Caenorhabditis elegans: one gene and its partners. The protein of the gene in region 3 purifies or fractionates together with the protein of the main gene of each other region. This does not show direct contact. Each region holds a gene or a part of one and is shown on either strand. Other genes may lie near its edges.

The links.
Region 1: the proteins of C23G10.2 (region 3) and K07E3.4 fractionate together in Caenorhabditis elegans (co-fractionation; one large-scale study listed by BioGRID). This does not show direct contact.
Region 2: the proteins of C23G10.2 (region 3) and tpi-1 fractionate together in Caenorhabditis elegans (co-fractionation; one large-scale study listed by BioGRID). This does not show direct contact.
Region 4: the proteins of C23G10.2 (region 3) and asp-14 fractionate together in Caenorhabditis elegans (co-fractionation; one large-scale study listed by BioGRID). This does not show direct contact.

Annotation. Positions count from the first base shown.
Region 1 is NC_003284.9:8,079,791-8,086,520, reverse strand, and holds K07E3.4 (formate--tetrahydrofolate ligase), read left to right. Parts: upstream 1-2,502; 5' UTR 2,503-2,617; coding exon 2,618-2,620; intron 2,621-3,118; exon of another isoform or gene 3,119-3,174; coding exon of another isoform or gene 3,175-3,177; intron 3,178-3,239; coding exon 3,240-3,338; intron 3,339-3,387; coding exon 3,388-3,844; intron 3,845-3,903; coding exon 3,904-4,157; intron 4,158-4,209; coding exon 4,210-5,158; intron 5,159-5,345; coding exon 5,346-5,506; 3' UTR 5,507-5,652; downstream 5,653-6,730. Other genes in the region: dao-3 (C-1-tetrahydrofolate synthase, cytoplasmic), read left to right, coding at 1-94, 384-557, 680-1,058, 1,524-1,741, 2,091-2,108; C46F2.1 (uncharacterized protein), read right to left, coding at 6,635-6,730.
Region 2 is NC_003280.10:12,035,872-12,041,585, forward strand, and holds tpi-1 (Triosephosphate isomerase), read right to left. Parts: upstream 3,269-5,714; 5' UTR 3,262-3,268; coding exon 2,944-3,261; intron 2,721-2,943; coding exon 2,619-2,720; intron 1,707-2,618; coding exon 1,383-1,706; 3' UTR 964-1,382; downstream 1-963. Other genes in the region: cyn-16 (Spliceosome-associated protein CWC27 homolog), read right to left, coding at 823-864. UniProt on the Caenorhabditis elegans protein: Triosephosphate isomerase is an extremely efficient metabolic enzyme that catalyzes the interconversion between dihydroxyacetone phosphate (DHAP) and D-glyceraldehyde-3-phosphate (G3P) in glycolysis and gluconeogenesis.
Region 3 is NC_003281.10:6,206,069-6,210,454, reverse strand, and holds C23G10.2 (RutC family protein C23G10.2), read right to left. Parts: upstream 2,392-4,386; 5' UTR 2,267-2,391; coding exon of another isoform or gene 2,265-2,266; 5' UTR 2,225-2,264; coding exon 2,142-2,224; intron 2,043-2,141; coding exon 1,956-2,042; intron 1,865-1,955; coding exon 1,707-1,864; intron 1,593-1,706; coding exon 1,486-1,592; intron 1,440-1,485; coding exon 1,359-1,439; 3' UTR 1,315-1,358; downstream 1-1,314. Other genes in the region: Serine/threonine-protein phosphatase C23G10.1, read right to left, coding at 830-1,171; rps-3 (Small ribosomal subunit protein uS3), read right to left, coding at 2,525-2,724, 2,895-3,027, 3,127-3,276, 3,322-3,462, 3,511-3,630; sna-3 (NADAR domain-containing protein), read left to right, coding at 4,252-4,340.
Region 4 is NC_003284.9:6,443,071-6,448,818, forward strand, and holds asp-14 (Peptidase A1 domain-containing protein), read right to left. Parts: upstream 3,595-5,748; 5' UTR 3,537-3,594; coding exon 3,440-3,536; intron 2,625-3,439; coding exon 2,496-2,624; intron 2,231-2,495; coding exon 2,094-2,230; intron 2,048-2,093; coding exon 1,652-2,047; intron 1,607-1,651; coding exon 1,447-1,606; intron 1,392-1,446; coding exon 1,307-1,391; intron 1,259-1,306; coding exon 1,162-1,258; 3' UTR 1,115-1,161; downstream 1-1,114. Other genes in the region: K10C2.7 (uncharacterized protein), read right to left, coding at 32-154, 199-363; fah-1 (Fumarylacetoacetase), read right to left, coding at 3,762-4,052, 4,157-4,410, 4,536-4,691, 4,738-4,982, 5,476-5,702.

The DNA of each region.
Region 1 (6,730 bases), on a different chromosome or scaffold from region 3:
GTACTCAAAAAAGGTTCTTCACGATGTCGGACAGAAAATCGCAAAAACCCGTGAGCACCACCCAAATTTTCATGCAGTATTGGCAATTGTTCAGGTATGAAAGCTTACCACTGATAATAATTTTATTTCAAGCATTGCTATTAACTTAATAATATTTCTAAATTGAATATATGAAAATGAAAATCTCTGTCCAATCTGTGTTTTGAGTTCATGACGTACATAAGTGCATTGCATACTTACAAAACAGATTTTGAAAGTTTTGCAGAGCGTAATTTGTAGTTGTGGTGTACTTTTGAGATACCGGCTTTTATTTCGTAACAAGACAAATAATATCCGAGGGGATATCTGTTATACTGAATAACTCAAAGTCTCAAAATTTGCAGGTTGGAAATCGTTCAGACTCCAATGTGTACATTAATTCCAAACTGAAAAAAGCAAAGGAAATCGGAGCAGATGGAAAACTCATTAAGTTGCCAGACACCATCACTCAAGGAGATTTGAAGCGAGAGATTATGGCTCTTAATCATGACAACGAGATTGACGGAATTATCATTCAGGTTAATATAACGGATTAAGTTGTAATATTGAAATGTTAACTTATAACGGAAAAAAAACACATCTCAGTTAATTAAAAAAAAACATCGGAAGCTAAACAATAATAGCAAGTTATTAATTTCAGCTTCCACTGGACTGCAAGCACGAAATCGACGCAGACTCTGTTATCGACTTGATTGACCCATTGAAAGATGTCGATGGACTGACTCGTATCAATGCTGGACGTTTGGCTCGTGGAGAACTCCAGCGTACGATCTTTCCTTGCACTCCGTTTGGATGCTTGTACTTGGTTCAACAGGCAACTGGTGATGCCAACTTTGTGTCTGGAAAGGAGGTGGTTGTTTTGGGACGCTCGAAAATTGTCGGATCTCCAGCCGCTGCGCTTTTCTTGTGGCATCATGGAACTGTGACAATCTGCCACTCAAAAACTCCAAATCTCAAGGAGAAATGCCTGAGAGCAGATATTTTGATTGTGGCAATTGGGAGAAAACATTTCGTCAAAGGTAGATTATCAATAAACCTAAATTTGAGATAGTGCACAGTACTGGCCATACAGATATCAAAAGATTGATTTCAACTTCAGCAAACGTGGTTATTCCGAGCTGAGATCTGACTATAGTAAAATAGTGAAAGTTTTTATATCCTGATTTTTTGGAATTCATCATTGAACAAATTTCGCGTTGCTTTTTTCATAATTACGCCCAAATCCATTTAAAAGAAGAATCTTGGCAAAAGTTATTACGAGTAGACCTTTATATGAGCAGCACGGTATTTACTTGCTAACCTAAAAGTTTGTAAGTCATTAAATTATGCAAAATATCTATAATAGAAACCCCAATTTAAGAACTATCAATGTTTAGTATGCACCTGACTGTTTGCAACTTCTGAATTGTTTTGCATCAAATAGAAACAGACTCTCTGTTCTGATAAGTGTCAGCGTTTTTTACAAATAAAAGCATATATTTCAGCTGATTGGATCAAGCCTGGCGCATTCGTCATCGACTGTGGAATCAACGTTGGTGACGACCCAAACTCACGCAAAATTTACGGAGATGTTGACACAGAAGCCGCAAAGGAAGTCGCCGGATTCCTCACACCTGTCCCCGGAGGCGTTGGACCAATGACTGTTGCCATGCTCATCCGTAACACATTTGAGCAGGCTAAGAGACGACGTCTTGGACAAAAGGTAAAATAGCTTTCCTTTTGCGACACTAAGTTTGTGCAGGTTTTTTGATGTTCTGGCCTAAGCGTGGATAGTGCCAAACAGTTTGTTTTGCGTGTGGGGTTGATACTGATGCACCAGAGTTTATTTCAAAAATTACAAAAGACACCGATAGCACGTTATCGACTCAAAGAACTTCAAAAATTCATTGAGCGATAAACTCTACGAAACAAGCAAATTTCATGGACATTGTCTTCATTATTTACACCGAATGTAAAGTTGTTCTGCAACTATAGTGTGCCTCACACAAAATCGATTGAAAATATGTTAAAAATATTTGTAAGTGTTGTATTTCACAGAACCTACTTTTCAGGATGACGATGATGAGTGAACTTCAAGCACCCACTTCCACCACATCATTTGCGAATGAACTATTTATAATGTGCTTTTTGGTTTGACTTTTTACTCTTTAAAATTTGTTGTGACGTTCTGGAACTTGAAGTCCTCTTCATACCTTTTTTTAATCTAATCTTTTCAATTTGTATTTTCTTTTTATTGTCACTTTCCACCGAAATAAACAATGACCAAGGACACAATTAGCCCTGATTTGTAAAAAGACCATGGTCTCGCGATAAATGCACGTGGTTAGTTTAGATGTTTAGATGCACGAGAGCGACGCAACATCGAACAAATCAGAGGACGCGATCAATAAGGCAGACCCGGCAAATGCCCCCCGTGCATGTTTTCTGTGCGTCTCCTAATATCTGATACTGACTCGATTACTTGTTCTGCCCACTGCCTTATCAAGGTGTTTGTATTTAGTGGCCATCGCTCTGCAGTTGTTTGAATCACTCGCTTTTTATTTTCGTTGATTCATTGGTTTCTCTTGAATTGTGAAACATGGTAAGTAACACTAACGTTTTGGGATTTGATTTTTAAACGGAAAATGCAATTTTGAAAACTCCAAAAATAACAAAAATAATTTGTTCATGTTTTGAGCGTGAGCAAAAAAAACAGAACTTGTGTATAATAACTCCACACTGTAAAAATACATTTTCAAAAAAAAAAAGAGTCTGAAGATAAAAAAAAGAGTATTATCTGTTAAATTAATATGTACATAGAAATTAATCTTGAAAAAGCGTCTTTTTTGTTTATGTTGACTAATAAAAACTTAATATGTCCCAGTTTGATATGTTGTCATACATTTCTGGAAAACCTAAAATATGTTACTTTCTTCTGATAAACCTGTCCGTGCGTTTTATCGTTTTTTAAAGTCAAGTTGCGAATTGCAACATTATCACTATTGTCAATCTATTTTATTGATTGATAAGAATCAAAATATAAAAAAATAAGAATTTTTGATCGAAGTTCCCATAAACATTTAAGTCACAATTTCTATCTTTTCATCAACTTCAATTTTCAATTTTTCACGCTGCTTGCGCCGCAAATTTGACCGAATGGTAATTCGATTAAATGTTCCAAATCAAACATTATAATTTCGTTGAATTATTTTTTATTTCAGAGCACATGGAATGTTGAATACTTGAAGCCCACCCTGTTAACTCCTGTTCCATCGGATATTGCTATTTCGAGAGCTCAACCACCAAAGGACATCGAAAAGGCACTCAAGAATATTTAATTTAAAAAAAACTTATCTTCATTATTTTCAGGTAGCTGGGGAAATTGGAATCAAACAAGAAGAGCTTGACCTTTATGGACGCAAGAAGGCAAAGGTTTCTCTTGACATTTTGGATAGACTGAGCGAGGTTAAAAATGGAAAGTACGTTGTAGTTGCTGGTATTACGCCAACACCTCTTGGAGAAGGAAAATCCACAACGACAATCGGACTAGTTCAAGCTCTCGGAGCTCATCTTCACAAAAAGGTGTTCGCATGTGTACGCCAGCCATCGCAAGGACCAACGTTTGGAATTAAAGGAGGAGCTGCTGGAGGAGGATACTCTCAGGTTATTCCGATGGAGGAGTTCAATCTTCATTTGACAGGAGATATCCATGCAATTACTGCAGCCAATAATCTTCTTGCTGCTGCAATCGATGCTAGAATGTTCCATGAGTCAACCCAAGCAACTGATGCACTATTCAACAGATTGGCACCAAAGAACAAGAAGGGTTTGTTTGAAGTCCCTTTTTATGGCATAGAAATAAATACATTAATACTTACTTTTCAGGAGTCCGCCCACTTTCGGAGATCCAACTTCGTCGCCTCGACCGTCTTGGAATCCCACGTGTAGATGATGCTGAAAATCTTAGCGAAGAGCAGAGAGTTAGCTTTGCTCGTCTCAACATAGATCCTGCAACTATCACCTGGAACCGTGTGATGGATACGAACGATAGATTCTTAAGAAAGATTGAAATTGGAATGGGACCGAATGAGAAGGGACACACCCGAACTACTCAGTTTGATATTACTGTTGCTAGTGAGGTTAGTCAAAACAATTTCATGGCAATTTTAATTTATTAATTCTTATTTGTAGCTCATGGCGATTCTTGCGTTGACAACTTCTCTCGCTGATATGCAAGAAAGAATTGCACGAATTGTGATCGGATCCGACAAGGCTGGCAATCCAGTAACCGCTGATGATATTGGAGTAACTGGGGCTTTGACAGTTCTTATGCGAGACACCGTTCGCCCAAACCTGATGCAAACTTTGGAGGGTACTCCGGTTTTTGTCCATGCCGGACCCTTCGCTAATATTGCACATGGACAAAGCAGTATTCTTGCTGACAAGGTTGCTTTGAAACTTGCCGGACCCGACGGATTTGTGATCACTGAAGCTGGATTCGGAGCCGATATCGGAATGGAGAAGTTCTTCAACATCAAGTGCCGTTACTCGGGACTTCAGCCATCAGCAGTTGTCCTTGTAGCAACTGTAAGAGCTCTTAAGATGCATGGAGGTGGTCCATCTGTTGTAGCAGGAGCTCCACTGAAACACGAATACCTTGACGAAAACATTCCACTTGTTGAAGGAGGATGCGATTCAAATCTTAGAAAGCAGATTGAGAATGCAAACAAATTTGGAATCCCTGTTGTTGTCTGCGTGAACAAGTTCGCAACCGATACCGACAAGGAGTTGGAACTTGTTTGCTCCAAGGCCAAGGAATACGGAGCATTTGATGCAGTGGTTTCCGAACACTGGTCACAAGGAGGCGCTGGTGCGGTTGCTCTCGCCAATTCTCTGGTCAATGCTACAACTGGACATCCAAAGCAATTCAAATTCCTTTACAACCTGGATTTGTCATTGGAAGACAAGATCGCTACTATCGCCAAAGAAATCTATGGTGCTGATGGCATTGAACTATCTGACGAGGCCAAACAGAAATTGGAAAGATACACAAGACAGGGATTCTCGAAGTTGCCAATTTGTATGGCAAAAACTCATTTGTCCCTTTCATCAGACCCAACAAAGAAGGGTGCTCCAACTGGTAAGAAATCAAATTATTAGATACCGGTCAATTATAAACACTCTGTTGATGTTTTAATGTTTATAGTTTAGGTACTAAAAGTTCAACATTATGATTGGTTAATGAAACTCGATATTGACTATGCATAAACAATTTCCTACCAAACTATTCAAACAACTATTTTCAAATCAAGATAGAGTTTTTGTAGGTTTCACACTTCCGATTCGCGACGTGCGTGCATCCGTTGGAGCTGGATTCATTTACCCATTGGTTGGTGAAATGACCACAATGCCAGGACTCAACACTCGTCCGTGCTTCTACGACATCACCATTGACCCAGTCACTGAGATCATTGATGGGCTATTCTAAACAATGCTTTCATACTTCTTTCTACAGATTATTTGTGATATGCGTAACATTGTGATTTTATATAAGAATTTAATACTGAAATTGTAAATAAAAAGAGTATATAAGAGCATATTTTTTGAAGACCAATAAAATTGAATTAAAAAAAATATTTCTGTCTGCCAGGACATATTTGCCGAAAACCTGTTATTTCAGAAAAAACCCGGTTTTTCCTGTTGTCACGTCATCATATGATCATAGCAGTTGATTGGCTATGAAATTGAAATTTGCTGGATTCAATTACTTTTTCATCAGCTCAACACAATATCTGTGTATCATAACTATGATACATTTTTCCAAAAATTGGTTATTCAGTATTTCTACTTAAAAACGGGATATAATAGTTTGGGTAGTAATGCTTTTTTTTTAATAATTTTTTTTGCAGTTTGTATCAAGACCATGCATATTATTTTTGACATGGAAATTGCATTGTTGTTTTTATATCTTCCTATCAAAAAAGACAATGCAAAACTTTTTTACAGATACTTATTTGTTGAAAATCGTAGCAAGTAAGTTAGCTCGAAAATATTTGAAAAAGGGGATTTAGTATTGAAAAACTTAGATTTTTAGTTTTTCTGGCAATTTCCTTTGACATTTTTTAAAAGCTTTTAATTGAGATGTCTGTTGCTTCATTGAAGATTAAAAAAACAAGTATAAAATCTTCTAATGCACTTTTACTTTTTCTTCCTTCGTGTAGCCTGACATGTTTGTTTCTTTAAATGCTGAAATTTATGATTCTGAAAAAAATTATTTGTTGAAATCATTTCATACAAAGTGGCACAGCAGGAGTAAAAATAAGAATAAAAATAAAGTACATGAAATAATAGCTGAAAAGTTTTTGGCAAGAAACAGTTGTAGCAATGCTACAGGATTTAATAGGGGAAATGGGAAGTGGTAGACTGACAGAACAATTGTCAAACAAGTATAAATCATTTTTGGAATTGTGAATGAAGCAAAGAAATTGAACATTTAAGATATACCAGATGAAATGTATTATTTGGGTTTCTCATAATATGACATCCTCCTTTATACAATTAAAGTGTTATTATTGGCTTATTGCAGTTACAAGAGTTTGAACAAGTTTTTCTTGGCTTAATCGGAATAAATTAATTTGTTGATTGGCCAGAAATCAAGAAAACTAGTCCATGTGCAATCTTTTTTGTGTGGTAATGAAAGAAGGTTGAGCGA
Region 2 (5,714 bases), on a different chromosome or scaffold from region 3:
TCTCGAAGCGACATATTTTTGTTTAAAAATGTGCGCTTTTAAAGATTACTGTACATTCGAATTTTCATCAATTTTTCATAGTAAACTGTAGTTTTTGGATAAAAAATTTTCGAATTTTTATCGATTTTTTGATTAAAAAAATGTTCAAGACTACAGTACTCTTTTTAAAGGCGCACACCTTTTTGCAGTTAACAAAAAGTCGTCGTGTCGAGACCATAGATACCGTATTTTTGGCGCGAAAAGCGCAAAATTCGTCATATTTTTTCGATTTTTCCTCTAAAAATTGACAAATTTCAAAAAATTCGGATATTTAATTTAAAAAAAAGAGAAAAATATGACGAATTCTGCGATTTTCGCGCCAAAACTACGGTACCTAGGGTCTCGAAGCGACACATTTTTGTTAAAAAGATGTGCGCCTTTAAAGATTACTGTAGTCTCGAATTTTTATAGATTTTTTGATTAAAAAAATGTTCAAGACTACAGTACTCTTTAAAGGCGCACACCTCTTTGCAATAAACAAAAATTGTCGTGTCGAGACCAGGAAACGTAGTTTTGGCGCAAAAAGTGCAAAATTGGTCGTATTTTTCAATAAATTATCCAAAATTTTTCGAAATTAGCCAATTTTTAGATAAAAAAAACTCAAAATTTTCGTTTTACAGCTTAAAAATTGCAAAAATACGCGAATTTTTCATCGGAAAAATCGAAAATTTCACTGGATTTTCGATTTTTATTCAAAAATCGATAAAAATTGAAATTTTCGGTCATTTTTTCTGGAAAATTCAATTTTTTCCACCAAAAATCGATAAAAATCAATAATTTTACCTTTCCCGTCGTAATCGGCTCGTTGATATATTGATTACTCATCTGAAAACTGAAAATTTTCCGCAAAAATCTGAAAATCGCCGGCTGAAATATTCACACAGAACAAGTAACTATTGTTTGAAAATATCGATTTTTTGTTATTTGTCGGCAAGAAATTTATTTATATAAATATATATAGGTTTTGAATATCAAAAATACTGGAAAAAAAAGCTGCTACTAATATCTACACTGTAGAGAGGAAAAAGCCAAATTTCAAGCCAAAAAATTCACGAATTCACCCAAATTTTGGATTTTTTTCGGTCAAAATTCCGGGAAAATTGATGAAAATCAGCTAATTTTACAATATAATTTAGAGGAAATCTGGGGGAAAATTGGGGAAAACTAAGGGAAATTCTACAATTTTGAAGCTGAAATTCCGGGAAAAATCAGCTAATTTTACGGCTAAAAATTAGGGGAATCAATGAAAATCAACCAATTTTACGACCAAAATTTAGGGGAATCGGTGAAAAATCAGTGGAAATCCGGAAAAATCTGTGAAATAGGGGGAAATAAATAATAATTTAAGATCTGGCGTTGATAATCTTGACAAAATCGGGTTTCAACGATGCTCCACCGACCAAGAATCCATCGATATCCGGCTTCTTTCCAAGCTCAGCCGCATTGTCAGCAGTCACAGATCCTCCATAAATGATTCTCGTGGCATCGGCGACAGCTGGTGAGACCTTCTCTTTGAGGAATGCACGGATCCATTCATGAACCTCCTGGGCTTGTTCTCCAGAAGCAGTCTTTCCGGTTCCGATGGCCCAAACTGGTTCGTAGGCGATCACAATGTTCTCCCAGCTGACACCCTTGTCGACGATGGCTTGAAGTTGACGGAAGTTTACCTGGAAATTGGAAAATTTGGGTCTCGAAGCGATCGATTTTTGAAATTTATTTTTCTACAACATTAAAAAAAATCTTTATTTATAAGGAATTGGGTATTATTTTTCAGGAATTTTTTGTTTCAAATTTTATCGATTTTTCGAAAATTTTATATTCTTCGGGATTCTTTTTTTTTTTTGAATTTTTCGCGTTTTTGGGAATTTAAATTTGTATTTTTATATAAATTTCACGAAAATTCATTAAAAAATCGGGTCTCGAAGCGATTATTTTTGAACTTTTTTTGTTTTACCACGTGGAATAGGGAATTTAATCGATTTTTCGAAGATTTTTAAATAAAAATGTTTCTTCGGAGATTTTTTTTTGAACTTTTCTGCAAAATTCAAGAAAATTCATAAGAAATCGGGTCTCGAAACGACTATTTCAGGAGTTTTTTCTTTTTTATTGCCGGAACCAATTTTTTTGTTGAAAATTTGGCAAAAAAAAAAAGAATTATTTTTGGCGACCATTTTTTGTTGGAATTTTCCGCTTTTTTGGAAAATGATAAAATTAAATGTTTTCTGTTCAAAATTCACGAAAATTCATAAAAATCGGGTCTCGAAGCGATTATTTCTAATATTCGTTGCAGAAAGAGAAATATTGCGTTTTTTTTGAGGAAAAATTGAGCTCAAAACTATAAAATTCAGGGATTTTTTAAGAAGAAACTTTGAAAAATTCCCGAAAAACGTGCAAATTCGAAACAAAACCATTTTGGAATTTTCAAAAAATCTCAAAAACTTGATTTTTCTACTGAAATATTAGAAGAAATCGATTTTCTACCCGAAAAAATTAAGAAAAAAAATCTGAAAGTTTGAAAATGTTGAATTTTCAAATTTTCTTGCGAAAAATCGATAATTTCCAGTATTTTGCTCCCTTACATCCTTGGTGTGTCCGGCTTCACGCTCCTCGAGCTTCTCCCCAATGCAGAAAACGACCTTAATTCCAGCCTCGAGAGCATGCACGGTCTTCTCAGCGATCAGCTGAAAAAGAAATTTCAGATTAATTTCCCTGAAACTCGAATTTTTTATTGACACTTGGTGTCAGGCTGTCTCATTGCGGTTTGATCTACAAAAAATGCGGGAATTTTTCTGCCAGAAAAATGTGACGTCAGCACACTCTTGCGAAATCAGTGGAAAAGTCTGCGTCTCGAGAAGATCTTTTCCCGAATTTTTCGAAGATCAAATCAAAATGTATTAAACTAACAGCATCGCTTTCTCCAAAGACATGACGACGTTCCGAGTGTCCGAGGATCACCCATTCCAATCCAAGATCCTTGATCATTGCCGGCGAAATTTCCCCGGTGAATGCTCCCTTTGGCACTTTGTAGCAGTTTTGTGCGGCGACAAGCACACCGGCTTTAAGCTTGGATTTAGCGTAGGCCAGATATGGAGCTGGTGGAGCAACGACGACATCAACGGAGGAATTGTCGGCTGAGGCGTTGAGGAAGGTGACGATACCATCGACGGAGGCATAGTCTCCGTTCATCTTCCAGTTTCCTCCGACGAAGAACTTGCGAGTCATCTTGATTCTACAAGAATTATGGAATTTTTTTGTTGGAGGGAAATTTGGATAGAAATTCAGAATAAGGAGGAGAAAACGATAGAAGAATTGCTATTCTTTGTGAAACCGAGAGTATCGATTTTCCCGATTTTCTTGCCCTGTATTCTTTTCAAAAAGTGGCTCAAATTTAATTTTTAAAAATGTCGTCTCGAGACCTGGTATGGCTCAAAAATCGTAATATTTCGCCTCTAGCTAATTTAGTATTGATTGGCAAATGTAAGAAAAGTATATAGTTCAGCAAAAACTTAACTATCTAAAGATGGTCTAGTCGAACGTTTTTTATTGTTTAAGTAGTCTCGAAATAGTCTAAAAACACCGAATTTCATAATGAAACTTCTTGAAAACTCCTCCAAAAAGTTATGGCGGCTCAAAAAATTACCTGAAATTAGTTAAAATTTGAAATTTAACCGACTTTTCAAGCGGCTAACTTTTTTGAAATAACCGTCTAATTTTGGGTATACAAGTTAATTTCTTGTTGCAGTTTCAACTCGATTTTGGTACATTTAAGCTCGATGTATCCCCCAGATGTTACCAAATTTAACCAAATCTGGTGACAAATCGACCTCAAATATACCTAAATCGAGTTGAAAACGCAAGATAATTAACTTATATACCCATAATTAGACGATGATTTCAAAAAGTTAGCATCCAGCCGCTTGACAAGACGGTCAAATTTCAAATTTTAACTAATTTCAGGTCATTTTTTGTACCGCCATAACTTTTTTTGAGAAGTTTTCAAGAATTTTCATTATGAAATTCGGTAATTTCAGATAATTTCGAGTCGAACACAAAAGGAATTTTTGCTGAACTATATACCTTTCTTACATTTGCCAATGAATACTAAATTAGCCAGAGGCGAAATTTTACGATTTTTGAGACACACCCGGTCTCGACACGACAAATTTTCATTAAATTCGAGTCACTTTTCGACAAGAATACTGACAAGAAAATCGTGAAAAGTCGATACTCTAGAGTCTAGGCAAAAATTAAAAATGACGCAAATGACTTTCGAAAATCGTGATCAATAGCCAACGTTTGATAAGGACGAGAGATAACAATGGAAAATCGAATTCGACATTGTTTTTTCGAAACAAATTTCAATCGAAATCAAGACTACACAACAAGTGAGATAGCGGGGTTTCTTCGATTTTATTTTTCTTTTTTTTGGCTGGCCAGCAGCAGCAGTCGAGAGAAACGAGACGATACAGTGTAGACAATGAAGAGACGGAGAGAGAAGGCGCAGTCCGAGTTTGCACGTATTTTGTAATGTTCTGAGTAGTGTGTGTGTGTGAATGGCAGAAGAGTGTTTGTGGATAGATTCGATTGGGAAGGGTTATTACGGGAGCACAAAATTCAGAGAATACGTACTGCACAACATATTTGACGCGCAAAATATCTTGTAGCGAAAACTACAGTAATTCTTAAAATGACTACTGTAGTGCTTATGCCGATTTACGGGGCTCGATTTTCAAAATGGATGCTTAGTTTTAATATTCTATTTATTTCAAAAAATCGAGCCCGTAAATCGACACCAGCGTTACAGTAGTCATTTAAAGAGTTACAGTAGTTTTCGCTACGAGATATTTTACGCGTCAAATATGTTGTGCAATACGCATTCTCATAGTATTTTGTTCCAGTAATATATATTTACAGGAAAATATGTTGGAAAACATCAGAAATTACAATGAAATTAAAATCACAGTGATTTTTCAAAAAAACGCTCCGCCCTTTTATTGGTTTTTTGCGTTTACGTCGCAGTTTGGCGAAAACTCGATTTTTTACCAAAACATTAATAAATGGACGGGATTTTTGTGAAATTTTTGAAAAAAAAGTCACTATTTTTAAGTTCAATTTGCAGTAATGCAGCTAAAAATCATTCGAATTTTCTATATATGACGTTTTCGAAAATTTAAATCTTCGCAAAGCACCGCCCATATATTGCCAAACTCCGCCCATTTATTGGTGCTTCTTCATGGTACAATTAAGCATTAAAAATCATACGCTTTTCGAATTTTGAAAACCTTTATCCTACAGATTTATAGTTAAATCCACAGCAGCTTAGAAGTATTATCAGATTATCAGGCTTAAAAAAACAATTTTTTCTAGATTTTTCGCCCCCGAAAATGCCTCTCATTGTAAGTTCAACATCATTTTTTTTTCATTTTTTCGGTCGAAAGAAAACCAAATAAATATGATGTGATCACTTCCACTACCTCGTGACACTTTTTATAACAAAAACATAGTTTTTGTTCGAAAATAGATATTTTCTGATTAGAAAAGTGCATTTTTTGGTGGAAATTAATTGGAAAATTTTGCAGCTGCTCGTGGTGTTATGGATCATAAATTTCTCAATTTTTGAGCGGAAATTCATATAAAATTTGCATTTTGAACGGCATTTTTGTCCTAAAATCGTA
Region 3 (4,386 bases):
TGTCGTCTATTATAATAGCTATTATGTACACGGAGACTCCAAGGGTGGCAAATGATGCTGAAAATTATGGTAGCGTATATCCGGTCATTTTCTGGGTTCCGCGCCTCACTGTGAAATGTGGGGACTATGTGGGCGTGGCTAAAGGAAGGGAATCCGGATGCCAAAAATCCGGATACCCGGACGTCTGGCAGTCCGGATGGCCAGCTCTAAGGAAAACATTGCAACGAAGCGCTCCGATAGTTTTAGTTTTACATTTAGCTATTCTCCAGAAAATAATCAAAGAATAAGTTTATTACACAGAATTTAAAAAAAAAACAGAAGTTCTCAACACTTTGCGAACAAGAACAGTCCTCAGGTCTCATCATCTTGTCCAGTGTCTCTGGGCTTCGATAGAGTGTCGGGACGTTTGCGTCGTCCACACGTACCCACTGATCTTTTTGTATGTGATCCACTTTCCAAAATTGAGCCACGTCTACATGGAGACTCCACGGGTGGCAAATGATGCTGGGCACTCTTTTAATCATTGGACTTATGGTAGCGTACATATATCCCGACATTTTCTGGGTCCCGCGTATCACTCTGAAATTCCTGCGTTTCTATAGTAAGCGGCAGAGCCCAGAAACTGTCGGGATGTACGCTCCCATAAGTCCATTAATAAAAAAAAACTGCCAGCATCATTTGCCACCCGTGGGTCTCTATGTGGGCGTGGCTAAATGTTGGAAAGTCGTGTCCGGATGTCGCAGTCCGGATGGTCAGCTCTACGATAAATATGTACACCGGTTTTATCAGTTAATAAGTTATAACTTTTATATTAATATCTATTACTCACTTTGATAAGACATTTCAAAGCAACCAAGAGTGGATGGGGGCCATCCTTGAGTGCTTCATTGCTGAACATCTCCCGCAAACGACTGACATCCTTCGGCCCTGGTTTCCCGTTGAATATTTGTTGCAGTTCCTTGTGCATCAACATCTTCTGTTTTCCTTTCTGCCAATCTCCTTTGAAATGATCGTGGAAATTGGCTCTTTTCAGCATCTGGAGGATGATATTGAGGAAGCACGATGTTCCGTCATTGATCAGTTGCGGGCAAGTTGGCATGGGGATCGGATCGGGATAAACAGTCTTCGTGCAATCATCGGCGACTTCTGGGACTCTCGTCTTCTTCGACATTGTATCACTTTTTTGTCAAACTCTAAGTTTGCAAAAATAAAATGAATGAAGAACGATAATGTTCACTTCAAATTTTTTGAAAATTGGGAATAAATAAATTTTATTTCCATCGAGAAAAAAATTAGAACATCAATGCCACGTTTGGAAAATAAAACTTTATTGTTTTTACATAAAATCACATTAATTTTTAATTTTTAACTTCCTCGATTTCTCCAGCAATCGCGACGGCTTCAATCTCGACAAGTCCGCCTTTTGGAAGCGCGGCAACCTGAAAATTTTTGATTTAACTTTGCAATACGAATTTTTTCACTTACTTGATAAGCAGCACGAGCTGGATATGGAGACTTGAAATATTGTCCGTAGACCTCATTGACGGCAGCAAAATCAGCAATATTTTGAAGAAGAACTGTGGTTTTGACGACTGAAATTTTAAAATATTAAAGTTTTGCCATGTGGCACGGAAATATCAAAATGTGTTTTTTTAAGTTAAAAAATTAAGTTTTTTATGTTCTAAATCTTTTATTTTAAATCTCACCGTTTCCATAATCAGCTCCAGCTGCCTTAAGAACTTCTCCGAGATTTTTGAGACTTTGATGAGTTTGCTCAACGACGCCCTCCTTCAAATCTCCAGTTTTTGGATCCAAGCCAAGAGATCCGGAAAGGTAGATGGTATTTCCGGCACGAACGGCTTGACTGAAATTTTTTAATATTATATGAATACTTTTGTTGATTGCTTATTTTCAGAGGAATGTTGTGGTAGAAAATAATATAATTTCTTGAATACCTGTATGGTCCGATAGCTCCTGGAGCATTTGCGGAGCTGATGATTTGACGGGTCACTTTTTGAGCCATGTCGAGCACTTTGGTTCTCCTGAACAGTTGTATTAGTCAGTTTTCTTTAGAAATAAGATTGAAAATAAATGAAAAAGTTGACAAAATGCCTCCACCACCACATTTTCTACCAACTAACTTGACCGCATCTTGCTCTGAAGTCTCCTCTGCGCCTGTTTCAGACCGTTTAAGCGCATTTGCAACTGGTGGAAGCATCGGCATTGTTAGAACGGCAAGAAGAACCGAAAAAGAGAAGACGTACATTTTTGAAGGGGTTAAAAGTTGCAAAGAGGAGAAATGAAATGAAACGAAATGAAGAGAAGCGCGACGATATGAGACACCGAGGTCACCCTTATCACCGGCGTGTCGCGTTTATGTAATTGGGGGTTCTGCAACGAAACAGTTTCCTAGACTCCTCCCTTTCGATTTTTGAAAGTACGTTGATTGTAAACTTTAAATATCATTACACTGAAAATAACGAGTAACAATTAACCAACAATTTATTGGGTATGTAACAACAGTTTATTGAACTGGAGCAACTGGTTGAGCTGCTGGGACTTGAACATCCTTCTTCTCCTCCTTGTGCTGGCTGTGTGGTTCCTTTGGAAGGACTTCCTCTTGTGGCTCGACGATTTGGACGTGGTCTGGGAGGGCGTTTCTTGGTCCGTTCTGTCCGCGTGGGTCGTATGGAAGCATGATCTTGACCTTGATACCGATGACTCCTGAAAATAAAAAAATGAAGATGGAAACTTACAAAATAGTAATACAAATTTTTAAACTTGATTTTTAAAATTAAAAAACTGAAAAGCAACATCTAAACTTTTCGAACGACATGTTTTTTGCGATCAAAAATCCTTTCTTAACCAAATCTTCCCCGTAAAAAATCACTGACCCTGACGGAGTTGAACGTGTCTGACGGCTTGTTGGATGTAGTCGTTGACTGGGTGTCCAGAGTGAATCATGAGTCCATCAACGAACTTCATGGCCTTAGCACGCTGTCCACGAAGCTTTCCAGAGACGATAACCTATAATTTTTAATGAATACAAATTCCATATAATACAAGTTTCGAATATTAGATGCAATAAAGTTAAATTTTTTGTCTATTAAAATAAAGTAATCATACCTCAACTCCTTGAGCTCCAGACTCCATGATGAAACGGAGAACTCCGTAGCAAGCACGACGGACGGCAAGACCTCCGACGAGCTTGTATCTGAGGGATTCGCACTGAGCGACAGCGCAGAGTCCTCTGTTGGAAACCTTCTCGGCGTAGAGCTAAAAAGTTAAATGTATTTTATTTTTCAATAAATGTATTTTTACCTCGACGGATCCCTCCTCGAATCCGAATCTCTTTTGGACAACCGAGGTGAGCTCCTTAATTCTGCGTCCTCGCTCTCCCAAAACGTTTTGGGTGCGGGTCGCCATGATGATGACCTCAGCTCTGGCTGGGGTACTGCGAACCTGCAAAACTTGAAGCTTAAATGCTATATTTTTGATTAATAATTTTACCTCGACTCCGGAGTATCCATCCTCAGCAAGCTCCTTCATCAGGAAGTTGTTAAGCTCAGCCTTGAAGATTCCGCCGATGACGGCCTTCTTCTTCTTGGTCACGTTTTGATTGGCAGCCATGTTGCCCACTGTTTGACGAAAGCTGAAAATTTGAATATTAATATTAGCGAAGATATTGATAGAAAAGAGTTATAATCCGAACAAAACACAAGAAATATATTTGAAAAAAAAGTATTTTGGGCAAGGTTTTTGTTAAGAAAACCCTAAATTACGTAACTAAAAACTACATTAATATAAAAACATGTTTTAATACAAAATATACATTGAAACATGTGAATTTTTTCAATTTTTATACAAAACATGTTAAAAATCCAGTTTCACGCGAAAAATTCAAAAATTTCAGGCAAAAATCGAAAAGAAATTTAGTTGCTTTCAACGTTTATCGTTGAAGCGTTGAATACTCAGTCAACGGCCAGGCCAATTGGCTGCGTACGTCACCGCAAGACCATGAGACCGAAAAATGGCATGCGCCTTTAATTGCCTCTTTTTTACCCTAGTCACCGAACGAATTTTTTGAATAATTTCTTCGAAGTTGAACAGTTTTCTTTATTTTTACCAGTTTTTTAATTCTGAACATCTCATTTTCTTTTGAAGTTTGCACTAGTTGTTTGAACTGCTTTGCCTGGTGATTAATCAACTATTTATTGATTTCTTTCTCAATTCCGTTTTTAAGGATCAAACATGGATGAAGAGAAAATTGTGTTAATTGGAAATGAATCAGATCTCCTACACTGTGGATACAATTTTGCACTTAGAGCTGGCGGAAAAAGGTGAGAACTGAAGTGACTTATAGATTGCAACAATGATTAAACTTGC
Region 4 (5,748 bases), on a different chromosome or scaffold from region 3:
ATGAATTTTTATTTGTGCACTACACACATTTTCATTGTTTTTTTGTACATAATGACATCCATCTCACTACATTATTAAGTGAAAGCAGCTCTTCATGAAGAGTTGGTTGTCTTGTTGAGTTGTTTTGATAGTTTTGGATAATCGCCAAACTTTTCTGAAATATTTTACTGTCACCAACTTATTTTCTGGGAAACTTACTGAAAATGAGCTGCCGCAATTTTGGAATTGAGTTTGCTCCTTTACGTCTTTACATTCGTAATTTAGTTGGTCTTTTATAGCAGCCATGTTCACAATGTCGGTTGCTATGTCAACCACTCTGGCATTAGCTTGAGCTAAAAAAACCGCAACAAGTATAATTAGCATGGTGAAGATTTTAATGAATTGTTGCAAGACAGGTTCTTATATAGTTATGTGTTTCAAGCAGTATTTATGAGACAGTTTGAGTCACAATACAAAACAGACAATGTAACAAATAAATCGTTTTGAATATGTCGGGTGATGTTTGATGATCTTTTTTATTAAATGGAAAATGTCATTTTGTATTTTATGACAACCATACAGTAATTGTTAGATGTGAATGTTTACATTAAAAAATGATCATTCGATACAATGAGTCAAACTTCGTCAGTCATTATCCAATAAGCTTTAGAACAGAATAATGATATGTTTTTACTAACATTTCTACTGATAATTTTTAAATAGAAAAATTTTTTAGTCCCTTTTGTTTGTTTGACGTTATTTGGACCGACCGGTTGCACATGCAACAGCGAATGCTTTAACTAGCCTACTATGTTTAACTTCTTCCAACCGCCCTATGTAGAATCTGCTTCTAACTACATAGTAGGCAAGTTAGTTCGTTTCAACATTCAGAAAATGATCAGTTTTGGAAAGTTTAAGATACTTTCTTCGAAATCTTTGTATATTTGAGAATATAAAACGTTCTGAAAGTTTGGGAAAGTTTTTGAAACACTCTAGAACTTTGTAGAACATTACTATGTGTAGATCAGAAATACTATCAAATATGTTCTTAAACCCATTCCCAACTATCCCAATAGTCTTACAATGTTTTCAGAAATTTCTCAAATGAATCTGAATATGAACCGCATAACGGCACTTTTTAAATTTAATGATTTATTTTTATTCCACTTTCAAATATTAACACTAATCTTGGAGAAGCGCTGGAGTGAACCCGACTCTTTGCATGATTGGATCGAAATATGTGCAACGTCCACGATACAATGGAAGACCGAGAATGATTCTGAAAAATTTTTGCATGATTCAATCCATCTTCTCAATCATTCCTTACCTATCAGTGGTTGGAATAATTTGGAGTCTACATGTTCCGAAGAAGCTAATAACAAGATCTCTTTCCGTAATTGAGACTGTTGTACCTGAAAATAGAGCAATTATGTAAAACAAGTGGAAGGTACACTGAAATCGACATACCAGAAACAAATCCAAAAGTGAGGGTGATCTTAGTGTTACATGGAACAATTGTTGGGTAGATAGCATTCATAACGTTTGTGCTGATGCCAAGGGAGTCAAACACCTGGCTAATGTAAGTTTTTGGAAGTCCAATTTGGGCGGTGGTGGTGTCAAGGTAAGTCTGAAATTTATATTTGTTGATACATAAGAGATGCAATAAACTCACTTGAATGTACTTGTTGTTGGAGTTGGTGGCGGATGATCCTACAACTTTGAAGGAAGACATCGTGAGTTGGTATGCATATGCAGAAGCCAATGGGACGTATGTTGGGTTTGGAGCACAGTGCACTGGATCAAATCCTCCGTAGTAAATAACTCCGTGGGTTCCGAGATCATCAGTTTGGTTGAAGTGCTCGAGCCAGATGGAGTAGAATGTGCCCGAAATGTCTCCAGCGTTAACACCTTGAACGAATGGTGAGTTTCCACCGATTTGCGATGAGGCTGTGAATCCCAATCCCAAAATTCCATCAGCACCCAATCCATCCATCAAAAGTCCGAGGTCGGTAGCTTGCATAAACTTCACGCCTGGAATGGTGATCAAATCAGTTTTGCGGTCTCCGATCTGGAAAAAAATTGTTAGGACTTAAAAAACAAATTGAAAGTATTACCACAACAGTGTCTTTTGCATCAAATCCTTGGAAAGTTCCAAGATTATTCTTGTACGTGTACTTATTTCCATATGCATAGTAAGACGACGACTTTGCTTGGTTGAATCTTCTCTTGTTGTAGCAATTATTTGCGGTCTCTGAAACATTTTCCAGTTTGTATCTTTTTCACTCTTATCAGTAGTGTGGAGTTTTCAAAATTAGGAATGTTATGTGCACTAAGTGATAGTCTTTGACCGATAATCAACATAAAAAACGATTTTAGTGCCGATATAATAGGGCAAATTGTCAGCAAAAGCTGACAAAAACTGTCATCATTTCGTGATTATGTTCGAGATGTTTTATACATTTAAAAGTCGTAAAACTATCAAATTGCAATCAAGAAAGCGATTGGTTGAAACTCACTGCAACTCATATCTGGAATAACAATGTCAGCGGTCGAAGTGTCAATGACAACAGTGAAAAGTTGTCCTGGTGTTCCCATGGTCAAGTTAGCAACGAAGAAGGTTGAGGTTTGCTCCAGAGTTTGTCCTCCTGGAATTAAACTTCAGTTTTGAAAATCTAAGGAACTTGTGTATTATATACCAAAAGTAATTTTCAGTACAAAACAATTCACTAGTGGAATGTAATAGATTTAGAAAACCATTATTCCTAACAAGGGAAGGCTCTGAACTCGTTATCGGACTTCGTTACGCCACTATATACATTCGATAGAGAATAGTTACAGATGATCACTCCAAAAATTTAGCTGCTTCAGAGCAGGTTTGATCAAGTTACGACATTTTGAAAGTGCCAAAATACCCCTTTTTAAAAATTCCAAAAAAATCAAAAAAAAAAAGTTTTTTTCTAAAAGTTGATATAAAATGTTTTCAAATAGTTGGAAATGATGGAAAAATCATACCACACAAGTTTCAGTTCATAATTCTCAAAACAACCAATATATAATTGGAAATCAACCGCAACATTGTGTTTGTAAGTTATAAGCTTTATTCTAAGTTAAATACATTCTACTCAATGTCGTAAAGGAAATAATGTTTGTTCATTCACTGTACATTTTATGTGGCTTCGGGATATATATATACGTGCTCTTAAAACAACTTACCGCTCTCCACTATTATTACTCCCAGTTACGTGTCTATCCCTATTTTGAATAAAATATAACGTTAATGTACCATTAAATGTTCATGTTCAATCAAACGTGATCGAAATTTTTATACGCTTCGGAAAATAATTCAAAAAAAAAATCAAAAATAATGCTTAAATGTTCATTTTAAATTTTGTAAAGGCTTCCATTTACAAACACCAAATTTCACTTTATCTGAAACAAATCTGTAAATTCTCATACTCACCTTTGGTAATGTTGGTAACTGCAGCATGAACTTTGAAAGGAATCACAAAAGCTGAGGTCGAGGCCACAAAGGCCAAAAGCAAGATTGTCTTGATCATGATTGAACTGAGAATGATTTCCAAGCAACCAGCTCTCCTATTTATTCGCTCATGCTTTGAACTGATAACATAGAAACCAAAAAATCGTGACAAACCCCTATCATTTTCGACACTGCACACTTCCACTTTCATCACTTTTCGTGGGCTTCAGAACTTTATTCGACGAGATACTACTAACAAACGAGAGAATGAAACAAAAAGCAAAACGATTTAATTACGATGATTTTAGATATCGGCTGGCAGGACTTTTCCGCGGCACTCTCCGAAACCAATTCTGACTCCATTCTTTTCACAAACTCCAGAAAGGTTGACCTCATCTCCGTCCTTTAAGAACTTTCGGATTTCTGAGCCAACTGGAACTTCTTTGGCTCCGCGCCACGAAAGCTCGAGCATGGATCCATATGCACCTTCTTCTGGTCCAGATACAGTTCCTGATCCCAAAAGATCTCCAGCGCGGAGGTTGCATCCATTGACGGTGTGGTGAGCAAGTTGTTGTTTTAGAGTCCAATACAAATGCTAGAAATTACAGTATTGTAGTTGAGAAAACCTTAACGAGCGTTTATGATCCAATTTACAGTGAACAGTGTAGATAATATCGTTTCTACTAAACTTGAACATACCTTGAAGTTAGTTTTACAGACAATATGGTCCACAGCATCTCCTTCTGGACGGATACTGACGGCCAAATTGATGTCAAGGGTAAATGGGTCATCGTGATGGAGATATGCTGGTGGAACTGGATCTTGTACTGGATTCTCAACAAAGTATGGACGAAGAGCTTCAATTGAGACGACCCATGGAGAAACAGTTGTGGCAAAGGATTTAGCAAGGAATGGGCCGAGTGGAACGTATTCCCAAGCTTGGATATCGCGAGCTGGAAAAGTTTTTTTTCGGATGAGTATGGAGCAAACTTGAAAATAACTACTGTTGAATTTTCTTGTCACCAAAATGTCGAGTTTAAATGTTTTTGTTTGATATTTAATTAACATCGTTACTCACCACTCCAGTCGTTCATGAGCACAACTCCAAAGATACGATCCTCAGCCTTCTCGATTGGAACACGAGTTCCCAATTCATTTTCTGGACCTCCCACAAAGAACGCCATCTCGAGCTCAAAGTCCATAAGCTTTGATGGACCAAACGATGGAACCTCAGCTGAAAGCGGACACATTTGCATTATTGGTGCAAATCTAAATCTTACCATCTGGGGCCTTAGTTTGTCCAACTGGTCTTTTCAAGTCTGTTCCAGATACAACGATTGATGAAGCTCTTCCGTGGTATCCGACCGGAAGCCACTTCCAGTTTGGCATCAGAGCATTTTCCTTTCCACGGAACATGATTCCGACGTTGGTGGCGTGATGGATGGAGGAGTAGAAATCGGTGTAATCTCCGATTTGAGCTGGAAGGTGCATTGTAGCATCGGATTGAGCGACAAGAGCCCGGCTTCTGTAAATAAAAACATAAGAATATTATTACAAAGTTTCTTGGTTGTTTTAAACAGAGTTATATGTAAGTTGTGCGCAAAACGTACAAAGCTTCTAATTACAGTATGAGATTTCAATTTATAAATCAAAAATTAATATAAAAATGTAGGTTTTTCTCGATTTTGAAATAGATTTTTTTAAAAATAATGCCTACAAGTCGCCAACAAAGTTTAACGATATATTTAAAGTCAAATGAAGTATTTCAAAAACTTTGACGGGTTTCCAGGCGTTCTCAATAAAATAATTTTTTTCAGATTGACCGAACATTTTCACATACTTCTATATACATTTCAACTTGCCAACTTGCTGCACAGTATTGATTCAACTTTGCAATTATAAACTAACGATAAAAATTAAAACTTGTGAAATAGTTGTTTAGATTTGGTTAGTAGATTATCAGACACACTTTGTACTACTTTTTAACTTTTTCAAATTTGTTTTGCCAACTTATTCACCTCAAATGAGCGTTATCCCTAAGAACAGCACAATCCTCTGAGAGCAGTTGTTGGATTCTTGCACGAGCTTCCAACCAGGCTGGACGTGGCAGTGCCATGAACGCGTTCAATGTGCTCTGCTTGAAAACATCCTGATGTGCCTTCAATTGAGGTCCGTCAAAAAGATTGGCAATTTCTGCCAAGTTGAGGATTTGATCTCCAATTGCAACTCCAATGTGGCGGGAAGACTGAAAATATTTAGTTTAATTTTGCTTTAGAAATAATTATTTATAC